Canis lupus familiaris: one gene and its partner. The protein of the gene in region 1 binds, or shares a complex with, the protein of each later gene. Links are inferred from orthologs where the notes say so. Each region holds a gene or a part of one and is shown on either strand. Other genes may lie near its edges.

Evidence for each region. Proteins that work in one complex are often made in the same cells at the same time.
Region 2: HEATR3 (region 1) and RPF2 share a complex: the UniProt entries of both Homo sapiens proteins name them as parts of the hexameric 5S RNP precursor complex. The link is inferred for Canis lupus familiaris from reciprocal best matches to the Homo sapiens genes HEATR3 and RPF2.

Annotation. Positions count from the first base shown.
Region 1 is NC_049223.1:64,457,043-64,460,694, reverse strand, and holds part of HEATR3 (HEAT repeat-containing protein 3), read left to right. Parts: intron 1-1,111; coding exon 1,112-1,288; intron 1,289-3,652. UniProt on the Homo sapiens protein: Plays a role in ribosome biogenesis and in nuclear import of the 60S ribosomal protein L5/large ribosomal subunit protein uL18 (RPL5). Required for proper erythrocyte maturation.
Region 2 is NC_049233.1:67,883,966-67,887,617, reverse strand, and holds part of RPF2 (ribosome production factor 2 homolog), read right to left. Parts: intron 1,490-3,652; coding exon 1,408-1,489; intron 757-1,407; coding exon 680-756; intron 1-679. UniProt on the Homo sapiens protein: Involved in ribosomal large subunit assembly. May regulate the localization of the 5S RNP/5S ribonucleoprotein particle to the nucleolus.

The DNA.
Region 1 (3,652 bases):
TTTTTCTTTCTTTTTTTTTTTTTTAAGTAAGCTCTAGACCCAACATGGGGTTTGATCTCATGATCTTGAGATGAAGAGTCACATGCTGTACTGACTGGCCCAGCCCTACTACCACCTGTTTTTACCTCAGCTCCTGGGGTCGGCTGTCTCACAGTATCCAACCTTCTGGATTTGTCTGATTGCTTCCTTGTGGTGTGAAGCTTTGTTCCTTTATTCTCTGTGTTTTCTACAAACTGAAAGTTAGATCTAAAGGCTAGATTAGATTCAGAAATAGGTTAATCTTTTTAATAAAACTACTTCATAGGTGATACTGTGTGCCTCATAATTTATTACATCTTATTAACTCTAAATACTATTCTAGAGGTTATCTAGATTACTTAAATTTAGATAAGAAAATTAAGTAGGTAATGGACTTTCTAAGAGCCAGCTTGTTATTTACATCACAGCTGGAGTTTGAACTTGCTGTTCTTAACATTTCCACTCTCCCACCAATAATACCAGATGTGCCCATCACCCTTAAGACATAAAGGGTGAAGCAGAACAGCCAAAACAAAATAAGTTTACCCTTGAAAAGTTCCTTGCAGATTGGGAATGACCTGTTCATTAGCTAGCTAATCATAAAAGGATAGATGGGTGCTAAACATCATCACTGGGAAGCAGAATGAGATTTAATGTTTTTATTTTTAATTGTCCTAGCGTGTTTTTCATACAATTTTATTTTTTTATCTAATTTTAAAAGCATATTTTTTTTTTGGTTACAGCTATATATCTGCATTTTAACACCATGGAGAAAGCCTTTTTGAGGGAGATAGAGGGGAAATTTTAATTTCTAAAACCAACCTTTCATAAAACCAATCATCATTTATGTATTTTAATTTATATTATTTAGGAATGTAAACTCTAATATACTTAATTTATCTTGTTGATATTATACTTGGTGTATTTATAAATATATGTGAAGTCTTTAATTCTTTCAAAGTTTTAATTTGTCTCTGGCATTTCTAAATTTTAAGATACCATGCGTGAACGGTTGCCACATTTAAAGTTAGTATTTATTTTGGAAACTGATGTTAGAATACTGGACAATAACAGCATGTATTATTGACTCCAGACCATTGGATGCTTTCTGCTTGAGGTTGCCACCAAAGATCCCTCCCTTGTGGTGGCAGGAGAAGCCTTGGATGCCCTCTTCGATGTTTTTGCAGATGGTAAAGAAGCTGAAAGGGCCTCAGTTCAAATTAAATTGTTATCTGCTCTGAAAGAATTCCAGCCAGTCTTCAAAATGAAGGTATGTAGCTCTTTTGTGTAGAAATGCTTTGGTCTCACCATCCTCCAAGAAGGGAGTATATGCAGTTCCCTCCATACACTCCCAGTGATTCATAGAGTGCTTCATCCATGGAACTGAAGAATGCTTGTTGGCTGAGTCAGAGCTCAGGCCTTTGTGTTGAATCACTGTGACTTGGGCCAAAATGGTGTGGGCAGGGTTCCTTTTCTATAAGAGTTCAGTAATACTAACAGTGCTTATGGAGAAGCAGTCTAGTCTGTGACCTGCAAAGCACTTTCATGTACATACAAATTTTTTTTATATCATTATAGGTGATAAATTAGAACTTGATTTTAATGTTAGGAATAGTTCCCTTTGGTGCTCCATGCTGGTCTTTTTTTTTTTTTTTTTTTTTTCCATGCTGGTCTTTATCAAAGAATGTAGCTACCTTCATTTGCCCTTTTATTTATTTTTTGTTTCACTAGAAACATCAAAGCTAATTTTGAATCAAAAAGTAATTTTCAAGGGCACCTGGGTGGCTCAGTCAGTTAAGCATCTGCCTTTGGCTCAGTTCATGATCCCGGGATCCTGGGATCAAGCCCTGTGTGAGGCTCCCTGCTCAGTAGTGAGCCTGCTTCTTCCTCTCCCTCTGCCTTTTTCCCCTGCTTGTGCTCTCTTACTCTCTGTCAAATAAATACATTTATTTATTATTATTTTTTAAAGATTTATTTATTCATGATAGAGTGAGAGAGGCAAAGACACAGGCAGAGGGAGAAGCAGGCTCCCTGCAGGGAACTCAATGCAGTACTCGATCCGGGGACTCCGGGATCACGCTCTGGAGTGAAGGCAGGCGCCAAGCCGTTGAGCCACCCAGGCATCATTTACTTTTAAATCTTTGTCAAGAGGGATCTCGGGCAGCCCGGGTGGCTCAGTGGTTTAGTGCCACATTCAGCCCAGGGCCTGATCCTAGAGACCCAGGATCGAGTCCCATGTCGGGCTCCCTGCATGGAGCCTGCTTCTCCCTCTGCCTGTGTCTCTGCTTCTCTCTCTCTCTTTCTTTCTCTCTCTCATGAATAAATAAAATCTTTAAAAAAAAATAAATCTTTGTCAAGAAAATAGAAGTTTGGATGAGAAATTAGCTTACTTCTGTTGTTTTCCAGTATGTATTTGTTTTGTTAAATTTTTTTTGAGAATGAGAGTAGGAGAAGCAGAGGGAGAGGGACAAGCAGACTCTATGCTGAGTTTGGAGCCAGATGCGGGGTGATCTCATGACCCTGAGATTATGACCTGAGCTGAAACCAGCAGTCAGAAGCTTAACTGACTGAGCTACCCAGGTGCCCCCAATGTGTATTGCTTTCTTCTAACAAGCTTCTAATACAGAATTGATTGCTCAAGGAGAGAACTCTGTGATGACTTTTTAGGAGACTATGATTGTATGTCTAGTAATTTCAATTTTCTGAAGTTTTTTAAGGCATAAGAACTAGTTTTCTTTAGAAAACTAGCAACACACACCATGTACATTCTAAATTGTAGGCCCGTCTAAAGTCAGTGTTGATTTAAGGACAGCAGTGTTGGTTTGTTTTTAACATTTTCATATTTTGCTATCTTATATTTAAAAATGTCATCTTAGTGGCTGACATTTATTGAGTTAAGTTTCACCAATAGGTAACTTAAGTCTGGGGAAAAAACTTCAACAGTTTACCTTAATTACAGTTTGTTCAAACCTATAGGTTTTTTTTTGTTTTTTGTTTAATTGAAATACAATTGATGTATAACATTGTATTAGTTTTAGGTGTATAGCTTAATGGTTTGATACATGTACATGTTGGGAAATAATTCCCAGAAAAAGTTTAGTTAAATCCATCACCACACATAGGAGGACATTTTTTTTCTTGCGATGAGAACTTTTCAGGTCTACTCCTAGTAACTTCCAAATTTACAATCAGTCGCCATGCTGAACGTTACATCCCTGTGACTTACTTAGCTTATAATTGGAAGTTTGTGCCTTTTTTTTTTTTTTTTTTGGAAGTTTTGGAAGTTTGTGCCTTTTGACCCTCTTCACCCATGTTTGTCTATTTTTTAAGCAGTGAGAGGTTTTACTGTTTATCATCAGTAAACAAATTGAGTGATATCTCTCCATGTAAAGGCAGATGTGCATTAGTATTTTACCCCCTTTCTTTTCCAAAAGGTAGCCTAATATATTCACAACCCTGCACTTTGTGTTTTCTCTTAACACGATCTCCTAGATGTATTTCCATACCAGTACATGGTGGGCATCCACAGGGTTCTTAAAGGGTGCAGGCAGGCCCTTGAAACATCTGAAAAAGAGTCCACGTGGTAAGAAGAAAATATCCCCTATTTCCCTGCAGCTGCAGGAAAGCAGATGTA
Region 2 (3,652 bases), on another chromosome or scaffold:
TAAGTACTGAACTAGCATTCTGGTGGCCAGCAGCCTTACTGTAGGATCAGCTAAAGTATCCTAGGTTTCAAACGGGGCTCACTTTTAAAACTCTGGTATTTCTGAAATTCCATAAAATAGGTTCTGTGACAATTCAGAGGGAGAGGATAGCATGTAAACTGTGGGCCCAGACAAGAGTTAATAATCACTCTGAAGTCTGTCAGGAGATCCCCATATGTATTATATTCTATATATATAGATAGATAAATATAGATATATTTTAAATATAGAGATCCCCATATGTATTATATTCTATATATAGATATAGATATATTTTAAAAATATATATTTTTTAAAATTTATTTATTCATGAGAGACACACAGAGAGAGGCAGAGACACAGGCAGAGGAAGAAACAGGTTCCCTGTGGGAAGCCCGATGTGGGAGTCAATCCCAGAACCCTGGGATCATGCCCCAAGCTGAAGGCAGATGCTCAACCACTAAGCCACCCAGGAGTCCCAACAGACCTTATTTTAAAAGATAAAATGAAACTCGCTTTTTTTTTTTTTAATCTCCGAGCACAGAATAAAAATAGTATTCTTATTTAAGTTACACAACTGTAACAGTACTCTTCACCACAAGATGTCACTACTGCCCAAGAGCAATATTACAAAATGCTTTTTACTTTTATGCTATCTTACCTTAACATCTTTTAGAGAGACAAACTTCTCGATACCTAATTCAATCATATCCAGCACATGGTAATCATACATACGACCTCGAAGGAAAATACATTTTCTTGTTAGCATTTATTTTTCCCAAACATCCAACTTTAATGGTATGTTCAAACTGGCATGTTCAAAATGTTAGAATCTGCCTCTTTTTTTCTTCTTAGGCCCCACCAAATATGTTCCCTCTTTCTTAAGCTTTCAATTCTATCTAGAATAAATAAATTGTTGCAGTCTTGGCCTTGAAAGAATCTTAAAAATCATTTAACCAAACTCCCTTATTTTATGAGTAAATAAAGGCCCACAGAGGGAAAGGGACTTGCTTACACCAGTGACTATGCCAGACCAAGTGTCAATACTTACCAGGGAAGGGTTAATTTATATGGCTAGGTGTACTACTTTGTTTTTTTCTCTAACACTGATTTAAGAGGTACATATGTTTTATATTAGGAAAATTTCTGCAAATTTAGGTGAAGTAGTATTTACATGCCTATTCTTTACCTGCAGTCTGGTAGATAAAAAATTTTATTCAAAGTCACAAGAAGGAAAAAAAAAAGAGAGAGAAAAAAGGAAACATTTTCACAAAGAAATGTTAAAAAACTAGCTTAGCACTCACTTGTTACTCCTGAACCCGCAATACCATCAATTATTCTGAGTCACAAGCTGTAAATAACAGTATTTATAAAGTAAATGATATTTACCTATTACTAGATTATTTGGCCGCTTCTTATTATGGGAGCCAAACATAAATAAAGAACAATCTGACTTCTTTGAAAAGAATTCCTGTAAAACCAAAAAAACTCCAGTTAATGCATTAATATAAGAACTTTAAAAACAGTAATGAGGGCAGCCTCGGTAGCTCAGCGGTTTAGTGCTGCCTGCAGCCCAGGGCGTGATCCTGGAAACCCAGGATCGAGTCACACGTCAAGCTCTCTGCATGGAGCCTGCTTCTCTCCCTCTGCCTGTGTCTCTGCCTCTCTCTCTGTGTCTATGAATAAATAAATAAAAAATCTTTAAAAAGAATAAAAATAAAAACAGTAATGAATACTTAATGAACTAGATAGGAATAAACAATAGAAAAGGACTTTATTTCTAGCTTTTTACTTCAATTTTTCTGATTTGAGGTACCTAAGAAAAATATATAAATTGAAGACTAAAAATATACTGGAAAGTTTAGGTTAATAAATTAAATGAGACTATTTTCAACTATGCAGCTTTGGATTAACACACTATTTCATTTGTTGAATAAACGCCTTTATTCATTAGACATTACTGCTATCATCAATGGTACATCTTACCATGCATTAAAATACACATGAATAGGGACACTTCAGGGTTCAAAAAGCCTAAAACTTTTTTTTTCTTAAAGATTTTAAAAATGTATTTATTTGAGAAAGTGAGAGCAAGGTGGGGGGGAACATGAGCAGGGAAGAAGAGCAGAGGGAGAGGAAGAAGCAGACTCCCCACTAAGCACAGACCGGTGTGGGGCTCAATCCCAGGACCCCGAGATCATGACCTGAACTGAAGGCAGACCTTAACCGACTGAACCACACAGGGGTCCCTAAACCTCTAACTCTAGATGAAACGATCATAATCCTCAAGTTTTCTTTACAGGTTACAAGACTCCCTGGGGTGTGGACTCCTAGTTTGGTTTTCATTCATTCCAGTGTTTAAGCAGAAGCAAACAGGGCAAAAAACTACCAAACCTGCCTATCCACCTGATATAGAGGATGTAGAGTCAGAAAGTCCAAGAATTCTGGCTCTGCCATTTACTGTCAGATCTGGTCAACCTTTCTAAGAATTAGTTTTATCATGTGTAAATCGCAGACAATAAGACCTTCCTACAAAAATCTGCAAAGGCCACATGAAAGTCATATGGGCAAGTACCTTATCCTGTGTCTAGTACAAAGCAGGCATTCCAAAAAAGGATTCTTAGGGGTGCCTGGGTGGCTCAGTCAGTTGATGTCCAACTCCTGACTTCAGCTTGGGTCTTGATCTCAGGGTCGGGAGTTCAAGCCCTACACTGGGCTCTAGTCTGCCCAGTGTGGAACCCACTTAAAAAAAAAAAAAAAATTTAAGTGTCCAAATAAATGAAAATGCTTTCTTAAAAAATTTTTTTTTACATTCTTACTATCACTAACACCCCAAAGCCATCCATGAGCTACCTCTCACATAACTATAGTACTCATCTGTTGTTGTTCTCCATAAGAAGTCCAGTTTTTGTTCAAACTAGAGAAAACATTGTCAAATTATCTGCAAAAGGCCAGTAAATACTTTTAAGCCTTTTACAAGCTTTTTTTAAATAAAGAAACCCTAAAAAAAGAGAAAGAAACCCTTTAAAAATATAAAAATTATAAAAATTAAAAATATATATATATAAAAATTATTCGTAGTTTATATATCTCACAGAAACAGGGATTTGGCCCACAAATTTGCCAACTCTGTTCTAAAGCAGTTCCAAGATCGTAGTATAAGAAATGTGCTACTGGAAAAAAAAAGTGCTACTGGAGGGATACATGGTCAGGAGGAGGAATTCAACCACATTTCCAACATGACCACTGTTTCCACAGCCATTCTGAGTTCTAGTAATCTGAGATTTTCTATGTCCAGTGAAATATCTGCTATCTCTGGAAGTGGGAGATGAAAGAGAGGAAAACTCACAATTTCAAGTGTAAGAAAAGCTGTCGTATCAAAACTAGATTTTTTTTTTAAGATTTTATTTATTTATTCATGAGAGACAGAGAGAGAGAGGGGGGGGGCAGGCAAAGACACAGGCAGAGGGAGAAGCAGGCTCCATGCAGAGAGCCTGACGTGGGACTCGATCCCAGGACCCCGGGATCACGACATGGGCTGAAGGCGGCACTAAACCACTGAGCCACCCAGGCTGCCCTCAAAACTGTATTGAAAAAGAAATACAGGTGGACGCCTGGGTGGCTCAATGGTTGA